Linked DNA regions of Cricetulus griseus. The protein of the gene in region 2 purifies or fractionates together with the protein of the main gene of each other region. This does not show direct contact. Links are inferred from orthologs where the notes say so. Each region holds a gene or a part of one and is shown on either strand. Other genes may lie near its edges.

Region 1 (6,300 bases), about 29 Mb from region 2:
AGCAGGAGAGGTTAAAGATGATTAACGATGGACTCCAAATGGAGATATAGACATGCAGAAGGCAACCCAGGGTGTGTGAGCTGCTAAGCCCAGCCACAGGAAACTGCCATGTGCCCTGTGTCATCCTCTACACTGTTCCTTCATTTCGCTTGGAGACTTACAACCCTGGGATGCCCCACACTTTCTTGGATTTTATGCTCAACCCTAGAGATCCCCCTCTTCACCTAGCTTTGCCTAGAACTGTGTCACCTCCAGAAGAAGCCATGGTTGACACACACATCCCAGGCAAGGTCTTCCAGTCCCTGGGCATCCCAGAATCTCACACTTGGCATTCTGTGTGAGATGATCAACTTTCACACTGGGAGCACCATGCCTCTCTTATCTTGGTACCCTCCCAACCCCCAGCAGTCCCAGCCCCGACCTAGCATAGATGTCAGTACTACCTGTTTGCTGAACAGAGTAAAATGGGATACAGCCTACAGCCTGTGCAAGCAAACAAGAAGCCCAGGCCCTGGGAGTCCCAGAAGAAAGATGGATGGATGAGGTGACACCATGACCTCTCACACCAGGGGACTTGATGGTGTCACAGTGGCCAGCTTGCCTCAGTTTCTCACACTCACACTGATGTCTCTTTGGGAGAAGCCAGTCCATCTCTCCCCCAACTGGGGCTCCCTGAAGCCCACACAGAAAGTTTCCAGGGAGCTCTCCCCCCCACATCCCACACATCCCATTGGGCTCCTATGGCCCTCAGGACAGAGCTGTGTCAGCCCTAGACAGCTAACAGTGCCTGTCTCTCCCAGGAGATGCTGCTTCCTTTCCTAATCCACAGAGGCACCCAGAGTGTGGGAACAGTGAGGAGTCAGCACACACTACAGACTCACCTTTCCATTGGGGCTTGCCTTCTTGAACACTCTGTGAAAAGAAAGAGAGGCCAAGCCAGGGTTAATGGATTCTGCCCAGCCAATCTCTTGCAGGCGACCCTAGACAGGGCCATAGATAAAGGCCTTGAGTGTCCTACAGGGACCAGCAAAGCCTCAGAGCAGGACAGCTTCCTTCCTTCCACCTCTCCTCCTAGGATGAATGTTAGCTGCCTGCAGCCCTCCTTCAATCCTTCAGAGTGGGCTGAGGGAGACTCACAAGCCCACCCAGCTCGAGTAAAGGAAAATCCTTCAGTGCCTGCTAAGTCCCAGTGATCTGACCTGGCCTCTTTCCCTCCCTATGTCACCTCCTGCCACCCTCCCTTAGTCTCCAGCCTCACTGCTCTCCAGCCCCTCTGTTCCTCGTTCCTTATCCACCAGGTGATTGCTGCACAAGGCCTTTGCTCCCAGTTTCCCCTACCCTACTCTCTTACCCTGGACACTCTTCCCAAATGCCCACTTTCCCAATCCCACTACCCCTGTCAGCCAGTCCTTCTCTTGATTCACTCTTCCTTTCTTCCCAGCAACCCCCTGACCATATACTTTACTTCTTGCCCCACCTGTCTGCTCTGCTGGCATGCCCGCTCCAAATATGCCCACTGTCTCTCCTGTCCACGGGTACATCCCAAACACACACAAAGGCACACGTCACTATTGTTCAAGAAATACTTGTTAAATGATTGAGGGTGGCAAGAGTACAATATAAACTAGTTGAACAGATAAATGAATGAATTTCATTGCTTCACTGAGGGACAGAGGCACAGGAATGTGGGGGCAGATGCCTATGCTCGAATAGCAGAGCACTGGGCCTGAGATTAGATGGTAATGTAGTCCCTAAATCCTGAAGAGTGCCACTTGCCTTTCATGGCAACCTTTCCCCTTCTAGAGCTGTGTCTGGGAACCCGAGTCTCCCTCGCCTAAGTACCTTTATCCAGCCCACAATTTCTCAGCCATTACTGGGGAGAGGCAGAAGAAAAGTGAAAGCTAGAGAGATGGGGATGAGGAAAGGTATTGAAAGGAGGGGAGGTGTGAAGAGAGAAGAGAGAGACAGAGGTAGAGGTATGAAAATAAAAGATGAACAAGAGACAGGAGGAGAAGAAAACCAGGGAAAGAATCAGAAAGCCTGAAGCAGGGAGAGATGGGACAGACCCAGAAAGGTGAAACCCCTAGGCAGCCTCAGCAGGGTGTGCCCCAATCCTTCCCAGAAGCTGATCTGCAGGCATCCAGGCCTGTGACTGTGTGGGGTCTCCACAGCCATGGCCCTGCCTCACCCTCCCTTCTGGGACCTAGGGAATATTGACAGGTCTGAGTATTGCTTGCAAAGGAGAGCGTGGCCCAGCCTCTCCCCAAACATTCCCCTAGGGGCCCTGGGAGCCTTGTCTTCTCATTAATATTTATCAGTGTTGGGAGTGTGAAGAAGCCACAACTGGCCAGGGTGTGATAATTGTTAAAGTAAGGGGAAAAAAATGCAGACCACTCCATCTGAACCAGCAACTCCAAGCTAGAAGCTAGGAGCTCCATGTTTCTCCAGGAAACCAGAGAAGTGAAAACCCTGTGGCTTCCAAGTCACAATTACCTCCAGCCCTTGGTAGCCTGTGCTCTAAGGAAAAGGAAAGATCTCACACCCAGGCAGGATAAACAACTGAGAGAGAAAGCCACTCTAGTGGCTGCCGGGAAGGACGAGGCACACGTGGGGCCAGGAGGAGCAATATTCACCAAGCAGCGGAGAGAGGCAAAGGGGAGGGGAATTAAAGCTCTGCCGAGCAGCTCATTATTTCTCATAGTAGAAAGGATAGTCTAACTCCCACTCCACAGATAATTAACTGGAGGCTCCAAGCGATGCATTAACTTGCCCAGGAGCACAGCAAGCAAGGGGCTAGGTCGGGACCCAGACTCACTTCTGACTGGGCCTCCAGAGATTGGTGCCTTAATCCAACCCACTGTTTCCTAAATCCATGTTTCAAAACGGCAGGAAGAACAGACAAGAGGGGAGGGAGAGAGGGATAAATGAAAGGTGACTGGGGTGAGGGGCAGAGTGGGGCTGAAGAGGGGCAGGAAGCACAGCCATCAGTGGGGAATGTCCTGCCACTACCTTAGTCAGCACCCGAGGCCACCTCCTTCAGGAAGCCAGGACTCTTGTGGCTTCCTCAAACAACAAGAGCAGCTGCCTCATTCTCTGTCTGTTTATTATTCCCCACTCATGCCTTTAAGTACTTTTCCCAGGACAAGGCTCTTCCTGGACAATCCCATTTCAAAGATGGAGACATTGAGGCTCGAAGAGGCACCCACGAGACTCAACCACTCCATCACATAGCCAAGCACCACCACTCAAAACTCCACTCACTTCTTGCCCCAACACTGTCAGAAAAGAGGCTCTATGGGGTATTTTCCGTTTCCACAACCCCACGTGTGCAACACCGCATAGACCTCTCTGCCCGTGGCCTAACCTAAGCCCACAATCCCAGCCAGCCTTGCTGAGCAGCTGCGTCTGTTCACCCCCAGCCTTGCCTGTGCCCCACAACCTGAGCCTTAGTCACAGCTGGGTTCCCCAAAGAGAAAGACCAGCAGTGTCCTTCCTGGTTAAGGTTCAGGATAGCTCGAGAAAGAAGAGGAGGTCCTAATAAGGAGGCCAAAATCTCACGGGAAGGATGAGCAGGCAGGATGCGCTGGGGCCGGAGCTGAGAATGGGGACGCCATCGGAGCCTCAAGCCGTAGCTCCCTGTCTCCACCGCTCCTTCTGGGGCTGCTGCAGGGCCTCCTGGCTGCGAGGCTGTCTGTGCGGCTGCTCCATTGTCTCTGTGGACCAGCGCGCCCCGCTTACTCAGGGATTTTTCTGCTCCTCCATCCTTTGGGCTCGCATGTGACTCACACTCCAACCCTGTTTCTACCCTGCCTCTCACTCAGCTTCCCGCTGCTAACTGACTGAATGGCCCAATTCCAAATTCCCAGGAGAGGAATCTGATTGGTCAGCTTTGATTAGGTACCCCACCCCCTGGCCCAATCACCTGTGTCCAGGACATAGCCTGTGGTCCATGAAGCATGAGCAGAAGAGGCTCTGGAGATTAGTATTGTCCAAACCAGAGGTTGCAAGTCACTGGTTGATTAGGAAACCTACTTAAAACATTACAGGTCGGAGAGCTGGCTCAGTGGATAAATCGCCTGCTTCACAAGCATGAGGACTTGAGTTCAGATGCCCAGTACCCATGTAAAAGCTATATGTGGCAGGCTGCACCTGTAACCTCAGCACTGGGAAGGCAAAGATAGGCAGATCCCGGGGGCTTCTGTGGCCACACAGTCTGGCCTACATAAAGAGCTCTGGGTTCACAGAAAGCTCCATGTTTAGTGATGGGCCCTGTTTCAAAAAATTAGGTGAAGAATGATAGTGGAAGACATCCATAGTTGACCTCTAGCCTCTACGCACACATACACATACAGTACGTACATACACAGAGATCCTTTTTTTTGAGGCAGGGTCCTGGAACTCAAATACAAACAAGCTGGCTTCAGACTCACAGTGATTCTCCTGCCTCTGCCTCTCAGGTGCTGGGATTAAAGACATGCGCTCCTATGCCTGATTATATTTTGAGGTTGGTTGTTTGTTTTCAAGACAGGGTCTCACAAATGTAGCTCTAGCTATCCTGAAACACACTATGTAGACCAAGCTAGCCTCAAACTCAGAGATCCTCCTGCCTCAGCCTCATAAGTGCCACTACACCTGGCTTTATTTTTTGATTTTTAATGAAATGGGATGGACTAGACTATAGAAACAAGTGCTACAGGCAACAAAGATGTACTAGATACTCCCTACAGGCACCAGGATTCCCTGAGGCTGGATGTATGGGATGCCAGGCATCTTCCTTCCTGTGGAGTTGGACGCCCCCCTGTGGCTTATTCTGACCAATGAAATGCGGGTGCAAATGTCACATGCCACTTTCAGCCAGAGGCACAGAAGGAACCATCCATGGGTCCCCAAACCCTTCAAGCTCATTTTCTGTGGCTGCTATTTACAAAGTCCCACGAATTCAGTGGCTTCAAACAACACAAACTTAACTAGAGTTCTGTGCTTCAGAAATTCAAGTGGGCTTCCTTGAGCTAAAATCAAGGTGTCAGCAGCCCTTGATTACTTCTGGGGGGTTCTAGGGCAAATCTGCTTCCTACTCTCTCTGGCTTCTGGAAGCCTCCTCCTTCCTCCATCTTCAAAGTCAATGAGAGAAGGTGGCCTTCTCATTATATACGGCATCACTCAGATCTGCCCTCCCTTTCCTTTTGAAAACCATTGAGATGACACAGGGACCATCTGGGTAATCCAGAATGATCTCTCTGTTTTAAGGTCATCGGATTAGCAGCCTGAAGCCCATCTGCAACCATCATTACCCATTGCCACATAGCACAACATTCAGAGGCCCCAAGGAGTAGGACCCCGACATCTTGGGACAAAGCATTGCTTTGCCTACCACACTGTCTTTCTGTGGCTGCTAAATTCAGCAATGTTCTGGATATTCTGCTACATGGTAGTACAAACAGAGAGGCTTGAGTCCTGTCAGATACATGATTGTAAAATTTGAAATCCTGAGCTGGGTGATGATGGCTCATACCTTTAATCCCAGCACTCGGAGGCAGAGGCAGGTGGATCTCTGAGTTGGAGGCCAGCCTGGTCTACAGAGAGAGTTCCAGGACAGGCTCCAAAGCTATCCTGAGAAATCCTGTCTCGAAAAAACAAACAAAAAATTTGGAATCCTGAGGCATGTGTTACAGCAGCAGACCAGCTGGAACCCAACAAGGAGAATGCCTATGATAAACCGATCCTGAAATTCACAGGGGAATGCAAGGGAGAAGAACTGCCAAAACAATCCTGAAAAGAATAGGACAAATTTGGAAGGCTTGGACTTCTCAACTTCAAAACTTACTACAAAGATACAGTGATTAAGGGGGCTGGAGAGATGGCTCAGTGTTTAAGAGCACACACAGCTCTTCTAGAAGACCTGAGTTTAATGCCAGTATCCACACCGTGCAGCTTACAGCCACCTGTAACTCCAGCTCCAGGGGTATGACTCCTCTGGCCTCTTCAAGCATCTGCACACATGTACACAGACAAACACATTAATAAAAACAATAAATTATTTTAATGATAGAGTAATCAAGGCTGTGTGGTACTGACAACATAGAGATCAATAAAAGATAATTAATAGTATAGAAATAAACCTACATATTTGTGGCAATCTGTATTTATCTATATTCAAATTGTGGCATTTTTATGATTTTTTTACAAGAGAGCTAAGACAAGGTGATGAAGAGAAAGAACGGTCTTTCTGTCTGTCGGTCTGTCTGTCTTCCTTCCTTTCTATGTATCTTAGGCTGGTCTCAAACTCCAGCTTCTCATGCC
Region 2 (5,747 bases):
CCTGGAATGTCACTCAGACTTTTTCCTCCATCCCTGTACAGAATAAGGCCCCTAAAAGTGCTATGGCTCTACCAGGCATGATGGTACACTCCTATATTCTTAGCACTTAACAGGCTGAGGCAGGAGGATTGCAAAATTGGGCTTCATAATAAAACCCTGTTTGTTTTTTTAAATTTATTCTTCTCTCATATATTGCATCCCAGCGGTGTTTTCTCCTCACAGTCACTCCCCCTACACTTCCTCTCCCTAAGATCCACTCCTCCTCATTTCACTTCAGAAAAGGGCAGACCTCCCAGGGCTATCAACCAAACATATGACATGTCCAATTACAAATAAAACTAGGCACATCCCCTCATATTAAGGCTTGGTGACCGCCGGGCGTTGGTGGCGCACGCCTTTAATCCCAGCACTCGGGAGGCAGAGGCAGGTGGATCTCTGTGAGTTCGAGACCAGCCTGGTGTACAAGAGCTAGTTCCAGGACAGTCTCCAAAACCACAGAGAAACCCTGTCTCGAAAAACAAAAAAAAAAAAAAAAAAAAAAAAAAAAAAAAACAAAAAAAAAAAAAAAAAGGCTGGATGAGGCAACCTAGTAGGAGGAAATGGATCCTAACAGCTGGCAAGAGTCAGAGACAGCGCTACTCCTACTGTTAGGAGTCCCACAGGTACACCAAGCTATACAATTACAACATTTATGTGGAGAACCTGGGCTGTAAGACCCAGTATTTAAAAAAAAAAAAAAAATTCTAAAGCTTTATTGACCCTCTGTCTTTGACTTTGAAGCATTAGTTGGGGGGAAAAGAGTCATATGACCAAGGGTTAGTCAGATATGCACATACATACAGAGGAGGGGCTAGCCTTGTCTTTTGAGTGTCTAAACTTATCTGATACCCTCATGAACCAGGAGGCATTTAGGGAAGAGTTGTAGATGCTGGAAGTATGTACATAGCCAGAACCTTCACCTTCCTGCAGAGCCCCCTGCTTTCTTCCCCATTAAGACCATAGCAAAAGCCTGTGACCACAGCATTTCAAAGCACTTCTCCCTTAGAGGCAGCCAATCTGACCTGCAGGTCATGAATGCAGCAGCCATTTATTTTTCTTTGGAAGCACAGTCAGGGGTTTCTCTCTGAGTGACACGTGAGCAGAACCTGCAGTGCTCCCTGGGTTTCCGTTGAGCACATTTTGCCCGGAAGACTTCGCAGTGTTCTGTTCTCACTCAGTCTCTTGCCTTTAGCTCATTAGTGTGACAGAAAGACTCAGGATGTTTGGGGACTAAGGACAACTCGCTGGAGAGCTTTGGGTGTCCCGCCTCTGCAGTTGGAATATTGTGCTGCAATCAGGGCAGGCTCAGTGCCTCACCATACCTCACAGCAAGGGTGTATCTGCCACAGAGCACAGGGATTGCCCAAGTCAGGGCCCACCTAGTCTTATTCCAGCTAGAGCACTCTTGGGGTCTTATATCCTTCTGGTTTGGTGTCAAGTTCAGACTAAGAGAAGCCCCTTTTTGTGGCAGATCTTAAACCTACCTGCCTTTGGTGGCTTCATAGAAGCCGTCAGATGTCCACACCTGCAGAGCACCTGCTGTCCTCTCAGGCCAGCTACAGGTTTGCTGTCATTTAACCAGATCCCCATTAGCAGCCAGCTTACTATGGATGAGCTGAAAGTTAAGGCCACCTTCTTCACTAAAGAGGCTGTTCTCACAGGTTGAAAAGCAATTACAGGCTCATGCCTCATTCTCTGGGTGGGTGGCCAGTGCAGTGAACTGAACTGAAGCAAAAGATGAGCCCATAGGAGCTCCCTGGTGAAACACTTAGACCCTTGATGGAAAGTAAGAATGCTTCCTACAAAAATCCAGACAGAGCTTAGCACAGACAGCTGCTAGCTTCAGAAAAGAGAAAAGTAGTGCACAAGCTTCATAGTGATGTGTGGATCTCTCACTCATGGATGTGCCTTTATGCCCCAGGTGAAAGCGACGTTCTCCGTTTCACCTCCACCACCACCTCAAAGAACCGGATCATCATAACATGGCACCGGTACCGGCCCCCAGATTACAGGGATCTCATCAGCTTCACGGTTTACTACAAGGAGGCGTGAGTTTCTGTGTTTGTGCCTGCTGTCCTGGTGTGGAGCTTCAGGGTGGAGATGACAAGGCCTTTGGTTATTATATGAGTTGGCTGAAGAGGGAATCAGTGGGTTTCCTTTGAAGAGTCAGACCTGGTGACCACTCCATCTTCATGTAGCCTCTCTAGTTGTCACATGACACTGTCCCAACCTGTAACAGCTAGTCAGGCCTTTCTTTGTTTAGATGGTTTGAATGTTTGATCAAGTTCAACCCAAAGGAAAAGGGGATGAATTTTAAGAGACTTGGATCCATCCAAACTGTCATAAGCTATCATGTGGACTTGGTTAAAATAAATGCTTTAGACTCTGTCTCTGAATACACTGGTCCGATATCTTCCATTCACTCTGTGTAAGCATAGCTTTGCCCGGACTCTGCTCTGGGTCATGAGCCTTGTAGAATTAAAGAATGGAAAGGGACCAACCTCAGTATCAACAGTTTCCAGGATCTTCCAAGACTTTCCCAGTACTGATAGCATCATCCTGCCTATGCAGTCATGACTTGCTCCATGTTGCAGCTCTTGGAGGCATTTCATCACCCTACTTGGCCTCCTGTGTCCAGGTAGTTCCCTAGTCTATATGGTCATTCATTTTCCCAAGGCTCATCTCCCCAGAAGCAACAAGCAAAAGTGCTGGTACAAGGGTCCTGGGTTATAGCCCATGAATGGGGGCATTGATACAATTTGAACAGTGAGTCATCTCAATGTTCCATCTGTGCAGAACCCTTTCTTGTCTTTGAAAGTGCTGCCAATACATTGGCATTGTTAACTGGTGATTTCTCTAATGCCACTTTCTGTGAGACCATCGGGAAGTAAAATATTTAAGTATTATCAGCTTATATTTTAGAAACTTTTTTGGTAAGAAAGTTAGTTTTGTTCAAAAGTAATCCTTTATCAATATCCAGTGTTTGCATGAAACAGCTATGATTTAAAAAAAAAAAAAAAAAAAAAAAAAAAAAAAAAAAAAAAAAAACCTGCTCCAGTTCAGAAGAAAGAAAGAAAATCAGTATCTGTCTGTCTCAGGAGCAGCTTTTTCAGTCCCTGCGAATATAGAACTTGCTGTCTCTCTCTGAGGCTGCTTGTTCAGTTCTGTGGTTCATAGCTGGTGAGCTCCCGAGTCCAGATGCTGGATTTTATTCTTGTATAGAAATCTAATTGATGATGAGTTTTATTTGGAATTCCCATTATAGACAGTGTGACACACTCAGCCACTGGGGAAGGTTCTTGAGAGCTGTGTTGCCAGAGCCCTTCAACATTCTCTGGCCTTCATTGATTGTCTTTCAGACCCTTTAAAAATGTTACGGAATATGATGGGCAGGATGCCTGTGGCTCCAACAGCTGGAACATGGTGGATGTGGACCTACCTCCCAACAAGGAGGGGGAGCCTGGCATTTTACTGCATGGGCTGAAGCCCTGGACCCAGTATGCCGTCTATGTCAAGGCTGTGACCCTCACCATGGTGGAAAACGACCATATCCGTGGGGCCAAAAGTGAAATCTTGTACATTCGCACCAATGCTTCAGGTATCCATGCACCAGATGAGCCCCCTGTTCCCTGACTTGTTATAAGCTTGCTGTAGTTAAGTGTGGCTGTAGGGATAGCAATGAGATGCCTGTTGTTGCTGCTTAACACTGTGTTGTATTATTCTCACTGCTAACACCTCAAATTCTGCTGAGCCATTTTCTGGACTTCATACTTTCTTAAGCCTCTCTCTCTCTCTCTCTCTCTCTCTCTCTCTCCTCTCTCTCTCCTCTCTCTCTCTCTCTCTCCCTGCCCTATGCTAATGAGCCTGTATCCTCCAGAGTTGTAAGATGGTTTCGTTCTGAATGCCCAGGGTGTAGCCACCTACAGCTGTTCTCATCTGTTTTAATGCAGACTCCTAGGACCTAAAATGATGCTGATCTGTGCACTAGATCTGTGCTGCTCTACTGGCTTACTGGTTTTCCATCTTTATTCTTTGGCCAGCATTTTCAGCAGGCAAATAAAGGCTAAAAACCTAATGGGCTTAGAGCATTGTGCCATCCAAGCATGGACTGTTGACTGATTCCTCCTCATCTTCTCTTCATGTGCTGAAGTACTAATTCCCCAACTCCAAAACCTAGAAATGGTGAAAGCAAACATTTGCATGAATTTGTATGCAAAGACAAGAGATATATATATATATATATACTTCATTGTAAAGGTAATGACTGTCTTAATACATTTGGGCTATTACAACAAAAATTCTATCTTACAAAGCAGAGAAACATACTCCTCACCATTCCAGAGGTTGGGAAGCCCAAGATCAAAGGGTTGACATTTTGTGTCTGGTGTGAGCCGCCTTCTTGGCTCATGGAGATCTGTTTGATGTGTCCTCACATGCCCGAAAGAGTACACATAGCAGTCTCTGACCTTCTTTTGTTAGTGTTAGTTCTGTTGATTAAAACTCCACCCTCATGACCTAATCATTTTGCAAAGCCCCAACAGTTGAAGGCTAGGGTTTCCACATAGTGACTTGTGGGGTGAGGCACACACACACAGTCCACAACACCAGTAAACATTCTCTGAGAACAGATTATGCTACAGTGAGTAGAGTGTGTTAAAATAGTGCAGACTAGCACAAAGTTAAGTATAAAATGGCAGAGTGTGAAAATGTTAAAAATAACGCAGAGCTCATACACCCCTACTTTTCCAACCCTTACCCCATAAGCAGTCACCATCATTTGCTGACCCTGAAGTCTTCATAAAAATGGATTTTCTACAGGCTTCTAGTCCTGGGAATGAGTTGATTTAGTGGAATTTCAAGTGCAACAGAATACATTCATTTTCATCTTAGAATTTGGGAGTAACAATTCCCAGAGAATCTTTGCAGCCTATTTAAGAAAGAAAGTGGAATTTCTTTTTGTAGCAGATTGTTAAGAAATCTGGTTGTTCTTCCTAAATATTAAAAACTGCATTTTGGCCCCTGTCCTCACAAGTACTAGGGACTGTTATGACATACTTGGTCCATCCTTTGCCCCTGCTTCATCTGTGCAACCTGTCATTGAAATATCTGGTAATAAACTTTGAGAAATTCTTTTGGAAACCCTGAAGGACCAGACATCAATGACTATAGTTTCTTTACAAAAGTTAGTATTAGTCCTGATCTCCCGGCATGCCACTCCTCAGCTGTTCTCAGAGTCTTCAGCATCTCATACATCCCAAAGTCCTTATTAGCTAGTTAGTCCTTTCTGTGGTATGTGACCAAAAACAACCTGACAAGGAAAGAATTTGGCTTACCTATCTGGATCATGATCTATCATTAAAAGGCCAGGGCAGGGGCTGGAGAGATGACTCGGTGGTTAAGAGCACTGACTGTTCTTCCAGAGGACCTCAGTTTGATTCCCAGTACCCACATGGCAGCTAACAACTGTCTGTAACACCAAGATCTGGCACCCTCACCCAGACATACATGCAGGCAAAATGCCAGTGTATATAAAAAAAGAATAAATAAATTATTAGAAAATAAAAGGCCAGGGCAGGAACCTGAGCAGAGGCAGGAACTATGGAAACGTGCTGCTAACTTAGAACAATTTTCTTTCTAATAAAAAAAAGGTGGGGGAAGTGCTGCTAACTTACTGGTTTACTCCCCATGGCTTGCTCAGCCTGCTTGCT
Region 3 (6,307 bases), on a different chromosome or scaffold from region 2:
AGTCTAGATTCAATCCCCAAGACCAGAGGAAAAAGAGAATGACTTTTTTTTCCAAAGGGAAATAAATGTCAGTTCATCGAAAGGAAGCTAGAATGTGGGTGTAGTGATTCACCTTTCTATTTACGAAAAGCAGTACAGAGACACAGAAAGGTGCTAGCATGACCCACCTAAAGGGCAGCAAACTGATTATGGGGTGAGTAAGGACAGGTGACTTCCAGGACCACCACAGAAACAAAACAATAGAAAATGAAAGTCATTCAGTTGGGTTTACCAAGGACACAGGTGATATATAACCTTAGGGTCCTAAAAAGACACTCATCAGGCTGTAAAGGAACACATCTAGGACAGCACCCTGTGTAGTCCAGAGAGTCGGGAAGGAGCGGGGGGGGGGGGGGGGGGGGGGGGGGGGGGGGGGGGGGGGGGGGGGGCGGGGGCCTGCAAGAGGCCCAGAAAGCAAGTGGCCTTAAGTGAGAAGCCCTAGTCTTTGCACAGCTGGGCAACCACAGGGTGCAGCAGCCTTGCCACTATACTCGCCTAACATGTTCCTTTCCAAATGCCTTCAATGTACCTTGCTCAGCGCTTACCCTAATCTAGCAGGTTCTGTGCCAACTCTCACTGTTCAGCCCTCATATACCAGTCAAGAACCTTTGCAATAGAACATGATCACAGGAGATTGCTTTCGCATCTGCCTATGTCTTTACTCCAAACTTCACTTTTTTTATTTTTGGTTTTTGGAGACAGGGTTTCTCTGTGTAACATTCTTAGCTGCCCAGGAAATCACTCTGTAGGATAGGCTGGCCTCAAACTCATTGAGATCCGCCTGCCTCTGCCTCCCGAGTGCTGGGATTAAAGACATGCGCCACCACCACCCAGCTCCCTACTTCACTCTTAACCACATTGCCTTACTCTACCACAAGATGTAAATTATTGCAAACAAAATGGCCATCTGGCTTTTTCTTTCTTTCTTCTGTTCATAGCTGTATCCTAAAGCCTAAAACAGCAGTTCAGCAACAGAACTAAAATAAATAAATGTGACCTTTAGTTCATAGATGTTAGTGGTTGCTACCATCCTAACTGGTGGTCCTTTTTAAAAATATTTAAACTGGAGAGATGGCTAAGAGGTTGAAAGCACTGGCTGTTGTTCTTCAAGAGGTCCAGAGTTCAATTCCCAGCAACCACAAGGTGGCTCACTACCATCCATAACGAGATTTGCTCTCTTCTGGCGTGCAGGAACATATGCAGGCAGAACACTATATGGATAAATAAATTTAAAAATTAAAAAAAAAATAGGCGGGCTGGGCGTTGGTGGCGCACGCCTTTAATCCCAGCACTAGGGAGGCAGAGGCAGGCGGATCTCTTGGAATTCGAGACCAGCCTGGTCTACAGAGTGAGTTCCAGGATAGGCTCCAAAGCCACAGAGAAACCCTGTCTCGAAACCCAATTCCCCCCCAAAAAAACCAAACAAACGAAAAAAAAAAGTTGTAAAATTTAAGGAGAGATCTGTGACATCGGAGGGCCACTGCAAACTTAAGTGTTGAGATTAAGGTCATCAGGTTACCAAATTATCAGTGTTCCTCCGCTTCCCTGTCCAGCCACTTCTTTCAGGGCTACACAAGACAAACTAGCAGGCTTTTCTGTGGAATGGTCAGAGTCACAGAAAGGGATTCCAATAAAAATCCCTTAAAACAAAAGGGCCAGATTGGACGGCACACGCCTTTAATTGCAACTTCAAATATACTTCCTTAGGTCATAGCTTAAATCGGAGTCGCCAACCCAGGAACCGGAACACCAAGCGAAAAGGGCGGGGCGCCGTCTCTGCCACGTAGCCGGGGAGGGAGGAGCCGCTGCAGTATGGCGATGAGCCGGTCGTCTTACTTTTCCTTCCTGAACACGTACTAATCTGCCGAGGAGCCTTTATTAAAACCCAGTAAAGCTTACTTAAGAACGCATTTGTTCAGCAGTCGCCAAATTATGTTCCGTGGCAGAAGAAACGGCGACATTGCGACTTACCGCGCCCAGCCCCTCCCACTACCTGGTGACGCCATCTTTGAGCAGCAGGGAATCATGGGAACCCCCGCCTTGCTCTCCGGGTATTTCCGGTTCCGCCGGAGGCCGCTCTTTCTTTTTCTCCGCGGCGTCGCTGTGGCTGCCGCTGTGGTGCTTGGCTCTCTGAGCTATCCGGTGCCATCCTTGTCGCTGCGGCGACACTCGTATCAGCTGCAGCCATGACGGAGCAGATGACCCTTCGTGGGACCCTCAAAGGCCATAACGGCTGGGTAACACAGATCGCCACCACCCCGCAGTTCCCAGACATGATTCTGTCTGCGTCTCGAGGTACGGGCTGCATGCCGGGCGAAATAGCGCGTTTCCCGGGGACTGCGCGTCTCCTGGCTTCGCAGGTGGCGCGTGGGTTGGCTGGCTTGGTCCATTCCCCCACCCAGTTATGAGTTGGGGCGTGCAGACCCGAACCTGGGCCCCAACTAGGGCGACCCTTTGCACATGGACGGAAACCGAGAGGTGTCGCATAACTCCCATAAGATTAGGTGACTAAATCTCTTCGTCTGTCTTCTCGAGATATATTTAAGTAGTTAGGGAGCTACAAGCCAGGCGGAGCAATGATGACCCCAACATGCCATCTGAGCTACTTTGCTGAAATCCAGAGGCTGTTTCTGAGCTGCCGTCTGGCCCTGAGCTCTGAGCAGTGCGTAAACTAAGGCTTTTTATTTTTCCTCATGACTTATCTTTATCATGATTTGCCCACCCAGGTCTCCCTATCTGCCCAAATTTATGTTCATTCTCGTGTGAAGCTTATCAGGCACTTTATTCGTTTCTGTATGGTTTGACATGGTGCATGGCTAGGACTGTCTTATTCTACCATAGCTACTGCATTTCTAGTCAACCCTTAAAGGCACAAAAGGTGGTCTGCTTATCCCACACCCAAGTGACTTTGCTACTTTTGAGTTAGCCTTGTGCTGGAGTGATGATAGATAAAACTGGCTCCTCAAGGGGACTAGGTAAGGTTTGTTTCCCAGAACCCACATGGTGACTTGCAATTGTAGGTAGTTACAGGGAATCTGACACCCTCTTCTAAAAACAACATGGGCACACATGGAGGGGAAACATTCAACACAAATTAATCTTGGGTTGGATTTGAGTTTCAATCCCAGCAAGTGTGGTACCCCATAGTCTCGGGTGTGCCTTACATCTTTTCAGTTCCTCTCACTGAATGTAGTGATGCTCCCCTTGTTATTACACCAGTAACCGTAAAGCACTGTAAATTATGCCCAGTATATAGGTGTGGGTGCCTATGTAATTTCTTCCCCAACCTTTTCAGACAAGACCATCATCATGTGGAAGCTAACCAGGGACGAGACCAACTATGGCATACCACAGCGTGCGCTTCGAGGTCACTCCCATTTTGTCAGTGATGTCGTTATCTCCTCTGATGGCCAGTTTGCCCTCTCAGGCTCCTGGGATGGAACACTGCGCCTCTGGGATCTCACAACGCAAGTAGCTGCTTTGGGACCTTGGGGGAGAGCTGGGCAAAATTGAGGTAGATTCCCGAGGGTGTGGTCTCCCTCGGAAATTGGTTTTTTTATGGAGGGTGGGGTAAGATGTTGGTGTTGACCTCTTTGAGGAGGGAGCTAGAGGGCTGTCGTGTAGTTGGAGCGTTTTTACCGGGTACCGCCAGCTGTTAAAATAAGTGTTTCATCTTGAAAGCTGTCCTAGATGAGCATTTGGCAGGTGTAATAGAGGATCCTAGTGATGACAAGAAGACATTGTCAACCAATCCCCACAAGGGAATGAGGACATGTCCTGCAATTCTGAATGGGTTCTCTGGCACATACCAAGAATGGGCTAATAATAGAACAAAGCCACATATAAGCTGTGTGGAGTGATAGAGCCTACTGGAGCAGCAATGTAGCCAAGAAAAGGGTCTGACTAAAAGGATAAGATTTGTCTAGAAAGTGACCAGGTTCTCCCATTTAGGGGCACCACCACGAGACGATTTGTAGGCCATACTAAGGATGTACTGAGTGTAGCCTTCTCCTCCGACAACCGGCAGATTGTGTCTGGATCTCGAGACAAGACCATAAAGTTATGGAATACTCTCGGTGTCTGCAAATACACTGTCCAGGTAAAGTGATGGAGGTAAAGGCTACAAGTTAGAGGTTATCTCCCAGCCCTTGGGGATTTTGTTGCAGTTTTGAGATGGTTCATTACTATGTAACCCTGCTTAGACTAGAACTTTGGTCTGCTTATTGCATGCTGGGATCAAAGCTGTGTGCCACCATCTAGCTCTTTTGTAATGTGTGGCATTTGTCTGGGATTTGGTTGGTTTTTACTATATATTTAATGCATTCTTGCTCATGAGTGGCTTGGGACTTGGGAGTTGATTTTTCTTCTGAGTTGGGGCATGGAACCCTAGGCCAAGGCATCTATTGGGCAGGCCCTTACACATGAGCAAATACCCAGATGTGTCCCATAACTTCCCTAAGGGTTAGGGGGTTTTAAAATCTCTACCTACCTCCTGGAAGTATGTTTAAGTACTTGGGGGCTACAAGCCAGGCAGAGCAGTGATGACTCCAACATGCCATCTGAGGTGCAGTGCTGAAATCCAGAGGCTGTTTCTGAGCTGTGCCTGGCACTGTGCTCCATGAGGAGGCATCCTAGGACTCAAATATGAATCAGCAGGCTTGACAAATGACTTTACCAACTGTTCTGTTGATCCAGAAGTATAGGTTTGCCAGAGAGTGCTGTTGCCCCACTTAGGGTAGTTATCTGTAGTCCTCTTACTTACCTTGCATCTTCTGTAGGATGAGAGTCATTCAGAATGGGTGTCTTGTGTCCGCTTCTCCCCGAACAGTAGCAACCCTATCATCGTCTCCTGTGGATGGGACAAGCTGGTCAAGGTGAGCTTCAACAATGGCCTGGCCCCATTAGAAATCTAAAAATGTTCCCATTCCTCTGAGATGGTAATCACTCCGGTTTGGAATGTTTTGCAAATTAAATTACCTTGGCTTTGGCTCTTGATGCTTTATCTAAGTTCATTAGGGATTGAGTTTGTTTTTGAGGCCAGATCTCACTCTGTATCTCTGATAGGCCTGTGTCAGCCACTCAAATATTGGGATTACATGCGCTTGCATAAAAACCTGTTATGAGTTACCTTTAAGGAAGATGCTATTCTTTCTTGTGGCCATAATCCTGGTCACTCACCTTTTTCCCTAGGTATGGAACTTGGCTAACTGCAAGCTGAAGACCAACCACATTGGCCACACTGGCTATCTGAACACAGTGACAGTCTCTCCAGATGGATCCCTCTGTGCTTCTGGAGGCAAGGTATTTAGGGGACCTCTGATCTTTATTTATGGAGAACACTTTCATCTGATAGCATGTACCAGTTAAAAGATGAGCTTAAAATGTGGGAATGTTTCTAAGGATTATCATAAAATATATAGAAAGGCATACCAAAGAAATTTTCCTTTAAAACTAAGTTGGTAGCTGAATAGATGGCTCTGGGATTAAGAGCACTGACTGTTCTCCCAGAGGTCCTGAGTTCAATTCCTAACAACTACATGGTGGCTCAAGACCATCTAATAAGATCTAGTGTCCTCTTCTGGATTAGGGCTACACACAGGCAAAACACACTGTATACATAAATAAAAGTAAGTTGATATACGTATTATACATTACAGGGAAGGTCTTAGGACCATGAACGCTGACACTTCAACCATTAGCTTTATCTATCCTAACTCACCATTTATGTCCGTCCAGGATGGCCAGGCTATGCTGTGGGATCTCAATGAAGGCAAGCACCTTTACACACTAGATGGTGGGGACATCATCAATGCCTTGTGCTTCAGCCCCAACCGCTACTGGCTCTGTGCTGCCACAGGCCCCAGTATCAAGATTTGGGTAAGTGATCTGTTGTGCACCACATTGATTTCAAGCTTTATTGGTAGATTCATCATTCAGCTGCTGTCAGTTGACAAGTTGGGATTATTTTTTCTTAACACTTAGCAGCACTGGGCAACATTTGACTAATAAAAGGGAATGCCCATATTTGGCAATTTGTTGAGTCATTTGGGCCAAAGTAATTCTCCTTTGAGAGGCTATTTTGTCAGCATATGTGGTATCTACTCACTAGATGACCATTAACAGTTACAGCCACACACCATGAAAGATAAGCAAAAATAATCCCAGTAGTGTGTAGCAGGTAGTAGAGCACTTAGCTAATGCATGAGAGGCATAAATCAAATCCCTACCACATGTGCCACTAGTATCAACTAAAAGACTGGGGATTCTA
Region 4 (6,413 bases), on a different chromosome or scaffold from region 2:
CTTCAAAACATGCTGGCATCTCAGAAGCAGTTCTCAAAGGCTTGGTTTTCTCAGATTCTAGCAACGCCTAAGATCCTTCTTCATCTTCAATCTTGGGAGCCAAATAATACTTTAAGTGTCCCATGTCAGAAATTTTATACTCTACAACTAAAAGATGGGAAAATTTAATCGAAAAGTTAATGACTGAGGAGTAATTACTATACTACAAAACAATGTTAAAACTTAGTATCTTACCAAGGGGTACATCTGTAGACATACTGAGTGTTACTGTAGGAGACAGTGGAGTAGCTTTTGTGAAAAAGTTCAGGTACCTTAGTGCAAAAGTTAGCTGAACTGGCTCATTCATTTCTATGGTTACCTAGAGAAGAAAACAGGCTCACTTAACACAACATCAAGAAACTCACACATTAGTACATAACATACAGCACAAAACAAAAACCTTTAGTTATCACTTTGGAGGATTTTATGAAAAGTTTGAAGACTAAAACACATTTAGCCTATCTCTTGTAGAAGCATACCCCAAGCAACACAAAGAAAGTGGCTGTTCTTTTCTAGACTGCAAGCACTAATCTCTTCCAAAGAATCTATATAGAGGAAAAAGAAATGGAATGATAGCTAACCAGTAGAGCACTTGACTAATATAAGTCCTGGGTTCAATGTACAACACTCAACTCCCACCCCCAAAAGTAACCACGGCTGGCGAGATGACCCAACAGTTAATACTCGATGCTCTTCCACAACATCCAAGTTTGGTTCCCAGCACCCACATCCAGCAGCTCATAACCAACTCTAGTAACAAGAAGCAACAAGTTAAATGCAAGCTAAGGGACATGTTGACCAATTTTCATTTTATCAGGAATTTTTTTCAAGTCCCAATTCAAACTAAGGAAATAAGAAACATGTGAATACTGAAAACTTAATTTCCTTTGTTGTGGTAATGCTTATGCTTTAAACAAAATACTTATGAATTAAATACCTTGTGATCTGAGGATGACAGGTAAGTAGGAATAATTAAGCAGACAGATTAAGGTTAAGAACCAGCCCTATGGGTTGTGTATATATGTTCTAATCCTCAGTTATACAAGTTGCAGACAAAATAACATTAAACACTTTGTGTTAAGCACTCCGAATTTTACATTTAGCACTAAAAATCATATTTAGTTCAGACTGTGTCTGCAATTTATAGTCTGATGCTCAGACTAGCTGGCAAAACTTTTTAAAAAACTTAGTATAATTAAAAAGTTTTGACTTCTGAATATTTAGCAATTAGCCTAGTATCTTCTGCTTGAATGAGGCTTTCCAGGCATTTTTCCTTTGCCTTTCCAACATCTTCCTCATTTTTGAGGACTTTAAAACTTATCAACACTCAACTTTACTTAGTCTGCTTTTGCACCATTAAATGGGGTAGCACGTGAAAGTCCAACACAAAGCTACTTACTACAAGATCTACATGATCCCAACAGACTCACAACCCCAACCATTTTCTTCTGTTCACTTGTTAATGCTTATTTGTCAGTCATTCTAGGAAGCAAAAGCTTGGAAACACCTAGCTTCCCAGTCCCACCTGTGAAAGCATATATGCAGAGTGTGGAGTATCTAAGTTCAAAGACAGCCTGGTCTACTCACACTCCACCTCAAAAGAGCTAGGTCTGGAGAACCAGCTCAGCAGTTAAGCTTATATTCATTCCCCTTTCAGACACTGCAGACAACTTTTACTACTTACAGCTTCCTCCTCTTTATCAACATTACTTGTTTGTGACAACTTAATGTTTCCATTTCCAAGCTCTCCACTTGCAGAAAACTTCACCCCATCCTTTGCACAGGATATTACAACAGCATCTCCAATATGGCTAAGGTCTCGGCATATGCGCGCAAATTCACCAGAAGGCATCTTTACCACACAGCTGTACTCCTGTTCCTGTAAATCCCAAAGTTAAAGGTCAGAAGTGTGAGGACAAGTATCTGATTTCTTTAAAACTCAATTTTAGACTGTCATTGCTTAGTGAAATTGTCTTTCATTCCAAATACCCACTTTGGAACTCATCAGCTGGTATCACAGCTTGGTAAAATTCACCAGCGAAAACAGGATATTCTCCCAGCACTAAGGGGGCAGAGGCAGGCAGATCTCTGCTGAGTTTGAGTCTACAGAATGAGTTCAAAGACCACCAGAAACGAGAACAAGATACTCACAGGGATTCCAAGTTGCTCAACATCCAAGTCCATTAACTTCATTTCATAGTCTGAAACTTTCTCTTGATCTAACAAAAGGAAGCAAATGTTATTGAAGCACATGTTCATACCTATGGTGTAAAACTTTACAACCGCAATTCTGTTAATATCCTTAGTTTTGAGAAACAGATCATACTTTGCTTTCTGTAACAATTGAGTTTTAGAGGTGTAACTTACTTGGTGCTTCAAATACGAGTGCTAAAGTATCGGCATTATCTTCAGCCCTTAGTGTAATGATGTCTTCATTACCAGCACATTTTAGTATTTTGGACATGCTAGAAAACAAGAAGCAGGGCTTATCAACACCATGTGTTCAACATCTACTCTTTTAAAGGCAATTACAAGATGTTACCCTTTTACGCCCACACCAAATCCCCTGGGGGGGGGAGTAAACTATCGGGAATGTGATCCTTAAAACCACTCAAAGGCAATATGCCAGTAAATAATTTTTTGAGCAGGATGTCCTTGGTTTCCAGTGTATCAGAGTGTGCCCTATATCATATGTGGCCTTTTCACAAATCTTTTAAAACGTATACCGGTGGCAAATTCATGCATCTGTAACAAAGTTAAAAGCTAAGACTGGTAAATTTTCCCACAAATGATTCGCAATGAGATTCTAGACTCCAAGTAGAAAAGGCCTATTGTCCCTCTAAGTGGACAGTACCACATTTTCACCAGAACACGTTTAGTAGGCAGCTAAAATTAGCCAGGACAAGGTTGTGCCCTGAAATAAAAAAAGCTGCTGGCGTTTAATGAACTGATCTCCAACGCAGGCATTTTCCCGCCGGCACCCGTTTTGTGGCTTTGGCGCGGAAACAGCGGGTTCGCGCGGCCACCAGCGCGGGCTTTTCAGAACCGCGCGCTTCCTCGGGCTCCGCCCCCAGCTCCAGACACCAATCAGAAGGCGCGGATGACCACGTCAGCCAATGAGAGCACGGAGCCGGAGCCCCGCCAAGACCCGAGGCGGGAGGGCTAGAGCCCAGCTCCCGCCACCCGCTCACCTGGTGAGGTTCACGCCCATGGCTAGGTTGCGGTCGCAGCGGTATGTGTCGAAGCCTTCGGAGCGCAGAGTGAGCTGCACCAAGGAGACGTGCGACGAGTCCATGCTCTGCAGGTTCACGCCGCCCGAGCTGATGTCCCAGCAGGCCTCGTTGATGAGGTCTTTGAGAGCCTCCAACACCTTCTTCAGGATGGAGCCCTGAACCAGGCGAGCCTCGAACATCCTGGCGGAGTCGCGACGACTAGATACTAGAGACTGTGACAGGAGAGAGGGCCGGCCGCGAAGGTCTCCCGGCTCGCGATGCAGAAGTGGCAGCGAGGACCCGCAGGGAGCGACTACCAACTTGGGCGCCCGCAACCGTTTTTATGCTGCCGCTTCCTAGGCGCGCGCTCTTTCCGTGCGCGAGAGTTGCGACGTCACCGCGCTGCCCCACCCACCTTCCCCTCAGAACCAATCGTATCCGAGTCCCGCGCAAGGCCCGCCCTGCCGCGTACACAGAGGCGGGGCTGCGGCGTACGGGCGTGGGAAGCGTGGGGCATTATGGGATCCGCGGAGGCCCACCTTTTGGAGGAGGCTTGTCCCGGCAAGTTTCCGCGCCACGGAAATGAAAGTCACGTGCAAGCCGAGCTGCGCCGGGAGGCGCGGGTCGGGGGTTGGGAGGGGTGGGGTGCAGGGCTGCCTGAAGTCGAAAAGTATACCTGTTTCAAACACTACAGAGCGCTTTTGCTACTGCGTAGGCGAAAACGCTGCAAAATACCGAGTAAGGAAGGAGCCACCACATCTTAACCCCGGTTTTCTATCACTTCACTGTGTTGGGCGCTCTGAACTTTCCTCCCTAAAGATTAAAGAGTTCCTTCTTGCCGTGAACACTTCTGCAAAGAACCCCAAAGTATGACTATCTCTTAAGATACATAATCCATAGGTCCCACCTAATTAGTTCCCTGTTACGCCTCTTTCCCTAGCCTGAACCCCATCTAGGCTGGAGATGAACCCAGGGCCTAGAGGCTAAGCACCAATAACTTCATGTTAAAATCAATACCCATTCCTGAAAATGTCAGCCATTACAGGTGCATGTGTTCCTGCTGCGTTTTGTTCTACTGAAATTTCTTTTTCCTGTTGATTATAAGGGTGGGGGAAACTGAATGCAGGTGGTGGACACCAGCTACAAACGGATGTAAAGCTATTTTTTTTTTTAATTTCTAATGTTTCTTCTCTTTGTTTTGTTTTGGTGATGGATAAAATATGTTTGATGCCGAAAGTGTAAAATATTAATGTGAAAGTCCACAGTTTCTATTTCAAATGCCTCTTTTTGTTTGTTTGTTTGTTTGTTTTGTTTTGCTTTTTTCGAGACAGTGTTTCTCTGTGGCTTTGGAGGCTGTCCTGGAACTAGCTCTTATAGACCAGGCTGGTCTCAAACTCACAGAGATTCACCTGCCTCTGCCTCCAGAGTGCTGGGACTAAAGGTGTATGCCACCACTGCCTTCCTAACATTGGGACCCGGCTGGGTGACCTAAGGGGCCCCTGGGGCTCGCTGTCCATTTCCTCCTTCTGCCTAGGTTTGTATGCCAGAGTGTAAATTTTCTGCCCTCTGCCAGGGGGCTTGAGAGCATGGACTTTGATTTGAGTAAATTTCCACTGTGGCTGCTGTTGGCATATAAGTCTCCTCCCCTCTGAAATAAACTGGCATTCTCCTTGCAAAAATGACCTATTGTGTCTTTTCTTAGTTAATCCTCAGGTTCCCTAGCCAGAACCCATGAAAGGTTGTAGTGCTGGCCTTTACAGGAGAGTGCTGGCCTGACCTGTGCAGGCCCCAGCATGATTCACAGTGTCACAAGAGAGAATGAAGGTGTTTGCACTGTTTGCTTACATTCTTACATCCAGAGTTTCTCACTTAGTTGCTGCTACTCTCTTTTTAATGTATTATACTCTGCTTTGTTAAAGGGCATTGATGAAACAACTCAGATACCAGTCTAAGGCTGGAGGGATGGCTCAGTGGTTAAGAGCACCGGCTGCTCTTTCGAAGAATTAGAGTTCAGTTCCCAGCACCAACATGGCAGTTTATAAACCTCTGTAACTACACTTCTAGGGAACCTCACACCCTCTTCAAAACACCAGGCATGCTTGTGGTATACTTGCAGGCAACTCCATAAAATAAAAATAATTTTAAGAGAATGCTGCTCTGTTGTCTCTGGACTTTCTTCCAAGTAAGTCCCTGTCATTTATTTGTAAGGTTTGATTGTTTGTTTGGGGTTTTGTGGGGTTTTTGTTTGTTTGTTTGGGGGGGGGTTGAGACAGGGTTTCTCTGTGTAACAGTCCTGACTGTCCTGGAACTGTAGATCAGTCTGGCCTCGAACTTACTGAGATCCGTCTGTCTCTGCCTCTGCCTCTGCCTCTTAAATGCTGGAGTTAAAGGGGTGCATTACCACTGCCTGGCTCATTTTTAAGTTTTGCTACTGTCACTTTTTTGCTTTATGTATAATGAATTGTTTTATTAACATCTATTTATATGTGGTGCATGTAAGTCACGTCTCGTGTATGGAGGTCAGAGGAAAACTTGCAAGAGGCAGCTCTGTTCCTCCACCATGTGGATTCCACGTTAGAACTCGGATTGCCAGACCTGCTAAGCAGTCTTGGCAGCCTGAATTATTCCTTCACATATCAAAACATAACATAGGGTGGGGCTTATAGGTTAGTGATTCTCTCTCTCTCTCTCTCTCTCTCTCTCTCTCTCTGTGTGTGTGTGTGTGTGTGTGTGTGTGTTTAGGACTTTGGGTTAGATCTTCAGCATCACAAACAAAAATGAAAACCTATAATATAGCTACATATATTTGTGAAGATTTTCTTTTCTTGGGTTTTTCTCTTTTTGTTTTTTTGAGACAAGGTTTCTCTTCATAACAGCCTTGACTGTCCTGGAACTCACTCTGTAGTCCAGGCTAGCCTTGAATTCACAGAGATCTATCTGCCTCTGCCTACCGTGTGCTAGGAATAAAGTCGTGCACCACCACCGACCAGATTTTCTTAAAATCTCCTTTCCTTTGCAAACCGTAGAATGTGTTCTTTCCCACCCAGGATACTGCTTTGCTTACAATAAATGTGCATTTTCTATTGCCCTGTCTCAGTGCTAGGGGCTTATGTAATATTTTCTTTAATGCCTAGTCACAGAGTAATCATTTTAAAGACTTAA
Region 5 (6,276 bases), on a different chromosome or scaffold from region 2:
TCCTCAGCACGACAGACTTCCCTGAATCCTACCCCCTGCTTCTGCCTCAGCCTTCCATCTGTCTGGGACACCCTACCAATGCCAACCCATCGAATTCCTTCTTCTTCCTGCCTCCCCTCCAGCTCCTGGACTTGGGTCTAGTACCTTTGCGGTCCTTCAAGTAGTCAGGATCCACGAGCACCACGCCATCTAGGAAAGGGAGACGTGGATTCATTTTCTGAAGGCGGCCTTTCCCCATCCCCAGAACCAGGAACCTCCTCCCTCCTGGGGGGATGAGCTACCCCCTTCTAGGCAAACTCACCCACAGGATCCACTTTGTCCAGGTGGTCTACAAAGTCGCGCTTGCCCAAGTACACGGTGAGCTGAGGATGTCAAGGGTCACAGGCAAAATTGGGGAGGATGGTGGCAAGCCACCAGAGCCCTCAAAGATGGCGGCCCTGTCCTGGGCTCCCCTTGGCTGGGTTATCAGGAAGGAGTTTCTCCCAGTGTTATTGGAAGGTGAGAGTGGTAGGGCTTTCCAGACTATTCAGTAAAGCTTTCATTTAGGCTTTTGTCTGCTCCTCTGGTCACTTTTCATACCGCTGTCCACCAAGCAAGGACAGAGGTGTATGTGTGTATATGTGTGTGTTCCCATGTCTTCAGGGAGCACTCAGTCAGACCAGGCAGTTAGCAGCTCTCCCCACAAAGGGCTCTGCAATAAACAGGCCACAGCCTGGGGAACTATTAACTTTTCCTAGTCCCAAGTACCCTGGGTTGGTTCCTAAGAGAATTACAAGCTTGCTTAGGAACCTAGCCTGGTCCCCACCCAGCCCTGTGGCTTCTTCAGACTGTGGCAAGGGGCTTAAGGAGGGAAGGAAGTCTGCTTTTAGCTGTCACAGGAAGTGGGGAGCTAAGGGTTGGGGATCAGCTGGGGGTAGGTTGGGCTTTGATAGGGCCCAGGAAGGATCGAAGCATAAGCACTGTGGGTGACTCACCTTGCAGTTAGGGCTCGACTTCTTGAAGACCCTAACAAAACAGAAAGGGAGACCCCACTGCCTCCCTTAGACTCAGCAGGGACCACCACACCAGGACTTATCCCTCCCTAGCCCAAGAAGTGGAATTCACCCTGGATCCCTGGTCTACCCTTCCCACTTTTTTTTTTTTTTAACAAAGTCCCAGTATTTTCCACATGGCAGCCCCTTGAAGCCAACTGTCAGGGCAAACACTTGCTCCTTTGATTTGATCCACCTCTACAGTAATGGCCACTGGTTGCTCCAGGAACCATCTAGACTCTCCCGAGGGCACCGTCCCCAGAAGAAGATGGGAACTAGATGGCTATCCAATGTCTGGGTCAGACCTAACACACTTTTCTTTTGAGACCGGGATTTAACTATGTAACCCTGGCTGGCCTGGAACTTGATATGTAGACCAGGTTGGCCCCAACTCTGAGATCCACCTGCCTCTGCATCCCTGATGGTGAGATGAAAGGCGTGAACCACCACCCTCAGTTAAACTAGCCACTTTTCAAATGACCTCTAGCTTCGAGGACACCTGGAGCAGTGCCTTGACTTTACCCCTCAGTTTCTACTGAAGGCACTGCCCACATCTGCTTATTTCATGAACCTCCAACATCCCCATCTCTGACCTCAGAATCTTAAAAAAAATGCATTTGTCGGTCAAGGCCTAACTCAGACATCATCTCCGTCAGATTGAAGACTCGGCCTCGACTTTAACCGCCAGCACAATAACACTCCCTCCTCCCTGTTCCTTTCCCATCTTGTTTATATTTTACTTGTGATTTCACAAAGGCTGACAGCTGTGACCCCTGGGATCTTGTACATTGAGGTGTCCCAACACAGTAGCATCCATGTGACAAAGAGGATACTGGCTAACATTTATTGGGTGACTGTTCTGGTCCTAGCAGTGTTCCAATTGCATTGTGACTACTCTAATAGCCCAAAGACATAAGTCGAAATAATTCCTGTTTTAGATAGAAGAAACCAAAGCATAGAGAGGTCAAGAATTTTGTCAAAGGTCAGAGAGAATGCACATGGTGGAACTCAGGCATAAACTTAAGGAAGACAACTCTGACTTTAAGTCCCTGCTGTCAACCATTAAATTGTTAAACTGGCCCATCACTGACAGTTTGTCCAGTTGAAGAGGGTTTTCTATACAGGCACTGAAATAATCTAAGCCTAGACTCCACCCGTGCTGGGAGCACAGAGAACTGTCTAGTGATCCCCAACCCATTGCTGGGAGCATAGGGAACTGTCTAGAGACCCCAGGGCTCTGGCCATTGCTACCTCTTCTAATGCACTTTGCTTCAGCAGCAACTCCTGGAAAGGGTTCCTAGAGAACGAACTGAAACACTGCCCAGTGTTCCATCCCTCTTTCAACTCATGTGACACATAGGGTCACATGACAAACTCATAGAGTACCCCTGAGTACCCCCAAGCAACAAAGGCAAATACGGACATGGTAGCAGTTAGAATTATCATTCTAATTTCTGTCCCAATGAGGGCTGACAGCTAGTATATCACCTAGGCTTGGTCTCTCTTCTACTTCTGGCTTCCCGATGTCCTATGTTTTCCCCAAAAGAAGCCCTGACAAAAGGCTGTGACAGCTACAGTGTGCCTCTTGGTTAGTTGCCCTGAGTAACTACAGGGCACCCGCCCTCTACATCTTATCCAGCCATCTCCTGCCAGGTTAGGGAGGGAAATCGTATGCCCATACTGAGGCTGGCCAAATTGGCAGAGTAAGGGAATTACCAGGGAGGTGCCCAGCTGTGCGAGGTAGCTAAGGCAGATGCCCTTTTGTACTTCCTGCCATTCTCTCCATTTCCTATGGCCCAGAATTTGATGAGACTGTAAGGAATTATGCCAAGTCAGCAGTCTCTCCTTGGTCCATCTATTCCCTCTCCTGAACACGCAATGGAAATTAGGGGGCCTCCCCCAAGTAAGTGACTTCCCCTTTCTCTGGGGTGTTTTAACCCCAAATCCAGGAGGCCAATAGTTCCTCTGATCATCTCTCTCAGATATCAGTCCTCTTGACGCTTAGAAGCCTAAATTCTCATACCCCAAGGGCAGTGGGAGTGGTAGGGTTGATCCTGGGTTTTGCAGAGTGACTGTTCAGGATCAGGCCCTTATTCTTAGTCCTCTCTCTGGCTTAAGGCAGAGAGCCCCAAATCATTCTTTTGCTCTTGCTCCCTTGGAACTCAAACATTCACCCCATGTCCTCTTGGGGGTGTTTGGTCACAACAGGAAGTGGATTTTGCTATAGACCAAAAAAGAGAACTCTGGTATCTGTGGAAGGAAGGAGCCTCGATTGCCCAGAAAACATCCGGGGAGAGGATGTGTGTGCCCAGAGCAGATACCACCTCTCCCCCTCCCAGGGACAGGAATACAGTCCAATTTCAGCGAGGGTTCCTATGCACTCTACTCCCTCAAGAAGCTGTTGCTCCTAGCAACCTAGGAGAAGACCGAAGTTTGATAGCAGAGCTATCCGGCCCTTGGGACAGGTGAGAGCAACCAGACTATGGGGTATTGGACAGGAGGCTTTCCATTGGTTGGGCACCAGTCTAGGGGAATCCCTTCCCAGCATCCAGTCTCCTTGCACACAACCCCTCGGGGCCGGCCACCTGCTCCTCCTTCCTCCGCCCCTGCATCTCAGCCTGCACAGAGAACCCAGTAGTCCGACTCCTACATCTCTGCGAGAACCCAGGCGTGGGTTTCCCGATCACTATCAGCTCTTGCTTTCTGCAAGAGCCCAAGCACGCTTCCCAACCCCGATATCTTCAAGCAAGGACCTAGGCTTGCGGCCCCAGACCGCTACCCTCTAGGGACCCGGGCATCCGGCCCCCGGGTTTCTTGCCCGGTGTCCTTGTCTGGGGATCATGCTGTCACCCTCCGCGAGCCGCCGCCCATGCCCCGCAGCACGTCCCCACCTCCCTTACCTAGTCCCGGGTTTTTCCCCCATGGTGCGCGCGCTCGCCGCCCTCCGCCCGCCGGGTTCGCGGCTCGCTCGCAGCCTTCTTGCCCGCTGCCAGGTCCCCCCGCTCCTCCCCGCGCCACTGCGCACGCGCGTCCTCTCTCTTTCTCCTCCTTCCCCTCCCCTCGGGTCTGGGTCTCGGTGAGCCGGGGCCAGCTGCGTCAGCCGGATCCCGCGCGCTGCGGCGCTGCCCGCCCTCCCCGGACTGGCTCCGCCCCACGCCTCCGTCCTCGGTCTCCCTGGGGGACGCCTCTCCGCGCGGTCCCTCTCCCGCTCTCCCCGCCCATCTCGCCTCCCCTCCTCAACCCCTTGGAACCAGATTGGGCCTCTTTAAATGGAGGCGGCTGCCTTCCAGGCAATTAGAGCCATCTGATTGGCCTTCGGTATCCATAGCCCTGCAGGGATCCCTCCCCTTTGTTTGCTTTCACAGTGGCGGTGGAGGGACGGGATAGTGGGGGCGGTGGGAATGAGATCAAACACTGTCTGGGTCTGACGACCTGGTACTGCGCACGTGGGTGAACCCTATCAGTTGCATGATGATGTGCGCTGCTCATCCCTGAGTTTGCAACCTTGTTTGGCCCGCCTTCCCGCGTTCTTGTGGTCTTTCAGCTCCCCCTGGTGTTATTGTCTTTGATTTTAGCAGGATCACTTCTAAATTTTTCTCCGACTTTGCCATCTCCTCTACTATCTACGCCAGCTATCATCCACCCAGTCCATCCATCTCTCTCTTTCTCCATCCTTCCCTCCCTCTCTATTTTGTGTTAGTCACTGTGCAAGCCATTGGGACAGCACATGAATTACAATGGCCTAACTTTCCTGGGATCCTTGAGACATGGAAGACAGGTATTATGCTCCCAGGAATGCTGTAATAGAGGTATGACTCAGAACATCAGGCAACTAAAAGCGCTTGGCCAGCGTGGGGGGAGGAACAGAGTGCAGTCAGTCACTCCAGAGGATAGGAAATTTGAGGACAGCCGCTCTGAAGGATGGGCAGAAGTGGGGAAAGGACGTCCTAAAGACTGCGTAAGGCAAAGTAGTAAGTACATCCTGTTCTCAAGTGCTTGTGGGTTAGATGGCAGGAGAAGGAGAACTGCGGAGGACTAGAAGGGATTGTGGAGATTTTGTGTAGCAAGTGAAAGAAAGAGCCTGAGGAACCGGTCCTGTTAATTTAATTTAAATTTTCTGCTAGGGCCTCAAACATGCTTGGCAAGTGTCACCACTGAGCTATATCCCTACCCCCAGCCCAGGAGATATTTGATTTTGATTTTGTTTTTCACCAGAAGAATGTAGTAATGAGGGGCTGGAGAGATGGCTCAGAGGTTAAGAACACCGACTGCTCCGCCAGAGGTCCTGAGTTCAATTCCCAGCAACCGTATGGTGGCTCACAATCATCCTTATAAGATCTGGTGCCCTCTTCTAGTGTGCAGCTGTACATGGAAGCAGAATATTGTATACATAATAAATAGATAAAAAATCTTAAAAAAAGAATGTAGTAATGAAATTTCTGGTTTTGGGTAACGTGGAGTATGGTGGGGAGGGAGGAAGACTGATAGAAATAAGCTGGCCATGAGAAATCGGTAAACGATGGCATGGAAGAGAAAAGAGGGGCCATATTAGAGGTTCATTTCTGGGGTGACATTGACTGGGTTTGGGGGAGGATGAAGGATGGCTGATATTTCTAGACAGGTTTTTCTCCTCTTTGTCTTTTTGTACTCTTCCCCATTTTCCTCAGATGGAATACCTTTGTGCTTTTCTCTTTACTTGTCCACTGATTGTCCATGAGACGAAAATCTCAAATCCCCTTTAATTTTCAAACAGAGGCCTTGCTCAACACCTGTTACCTGCCCTGCCCAGTTCTATTGTCATCTCTTCAGTTTACTCTTTTTTTATTATTAAAATTTATTTTTTGTGTATGAGATTTGGCCTGCATGTATGTATGTTCACCACTGTTTGTGTACATAGTCCGATGAAGGCATCAGAGTTCCTGGACCTGGAGTTACAGTTATAAACCTCCATGTGGGCCAGGCATTGGTGGTGCACGCCTTTAATCCCAGCACTGGGGAGGCAGAGGCAGGCGGATCTCTGTGAATTTGAGACCAGCCTAGTCTACAAGAACTAGTTCCAGGACAGGTTCCAAAGCTACACAGAGAAACCCTGTCTCCAAAAATCAAAATGAACAAAAAAACTTCCATGTGGGTGCTAGGGATTGAACTCAGATCCTCTGTATAACAAGTGCTCTTAACCATGGAGTCATCTTCCTAGCCCCAATTTGACTCTTTGAGACAGGTCTCACTACTTAGGCCTGGCTGG

The links.
Region 1: the proteins of Igf1r (region 2) and Arrb1 purify together in Homo sapiens (affinity purification with western blotting; 3 studies listed by BioGRID and IntAct, with this or other methods). This does not show direct contact. The link is inferred for Cricetulus griseus from reciprocal best matches to the Homo sapiens genes IGF1R and ARRB1.
Region 3: the proteins of Igf1r (region 2) and Rack1 purify together in Homo sapiens (affinity purification with western blotting; 4 studies listed by BioGRID, with this or other methods). This does not show direct contact. The link is inferred for Cricetulus griseus from reciprocal best matches to the Homo sapiens genes IGF1R and RACK1.
Region 4: the proteins of Igf1r (region 2) and Pcna purify together in Homo sapiens (affinity purification with western blotting; 3 studies listed by BioGRID, with this or other methods). This does not show direct contact. The link is inferred for Cricetulus griseus from reciprocal best matches to the Homo sapiens genes IGF1R and PCNA.
Region 5: the proteins of Igf1r (region 2) and beta-arrestin-2 purify together in Homo sapiens (affinity purification with western blotting; 4 studies listed by BioGRID). This does not show direct contact. The link is inferred for Cricetulus griseus from reciprocal best matches to the Homo sapiens genes IGF1R and ARRB2.

What each region holds. Positions count from the first base shown.
Region 1 is NC_048596.1:99,979,157-99,985,456, forward strand, and holds the start of Arrb1 (beta-arrestin-1), read right to left. Parts: upstream 3,837-6,300; 5' UTR 3,615-3,836; coding exon 3,559-3,614; intron 913-3,558; coding exon 882-912; intron 1-881. UniProt on the Homo sapiens protein: Functions in regulating agonist-mediated G-protein coupled receptor (GPCR) signaling by mediating both receptor desensitization and resensitization processes.
Region 2 is NC_048596.1:129,027,468-129,033,214, reverse strand, and holds part of Igf1r (insulin-like growth factor 1 receptor), read left to right. Parts: intron 1-1,960; coding exon 1,961-2,087; intron 2,088-3,398; coding exon 3,399-3,637; intron 3,638-5,747. UniProt on the Homo sapiens protein: Receptor tyrosine kinase which mediates actions of insulin-like growth factor 1 (IGF1). Binds IGF1 with high affinity and IGF2 and insulin (INS) with a lower affinity. The activated IGF1R is involved in cell growth and survival control.
Region 3 is NC_048600.1:63,456,449-63,462,755, forward strand, and holds the start of Rack1 (receptor of activated protein C kinase 1), read left to right. Parts: upstream 1-2,103; 5' UTR 2,104-2,225; coding exon 2,226-2,334; intron 2,335-2,609; exon of another isoform or gene 2,610-2,677; intron 2,678-3,334; coding exon 3,335-3,506; intron 3,507-3,755; exon of another isoform or gene 3,756-3,835; intron 3,836-3,990; coding exon 3,991-4,138; intron 4,139-4,571; exon of another isoform or gene 4,572-4,639; intron 4,640-4,817; coding exon 4,818-4,913; intron 4,914-5,229; coding exon 5,230-5,340; intron 5,341-5,775; coding exon 5,776-5,916; intron 5,917-6,307. UniProt on the Homo sapiens protein: Scaffolding protein involved in the recruitment, assembly and/or regulation of a variety of signaling molecules. Interacts with a wide variety of proteins and plays a role in many cellular processes.
Region 4 is NC_048599.1:46,329,844-46,336,256, reverse strand, and holds the start of Pcna (proliferating cell nuclear antigen), read right to left. Parts: upstream 3,462-6,413; 5' UTR 3,452-3,461; coding exon 3,231-3,451; intron 2,505-3,230; coding exon 2,407-2,504; intron 2,259-2,406; coding exon 2,191-2,258; intron 1,919-2,190; coding exon 1,724-1,918; intron 359-1,723; coding exon 235-358; intron 148-234; coding exon 68-147; 3' UTR 1-67. UniProt on the Homo sapiens protein: Auxiliary protein of DNA polymerase delta and epsilon, is involved in the control of eukaryotic DNA replication by increasing the polymerase's processibility during elongation of the leading strand.
Region 5 is NC_048600.1:84,229,543-84,235,818, reverse strand, and holds the start of beta-arrestin-2, read right to left. Parts: upstream 4,062-6,276; 5' UTR 3,955-4,061; coding exon 3,932-3,954; intron 1,006-3,931; coding exon 975-1,005; intron 363-974; coding exon 302-362; intron 190-301; coding exon 145-189; intron 1-144. UniProt on the Homo sapiens protein: Functions in regulating agonist-mediated G-protein coupled receptor (GPCR) signaling by mediating both receptor desensitization and resensitization processes.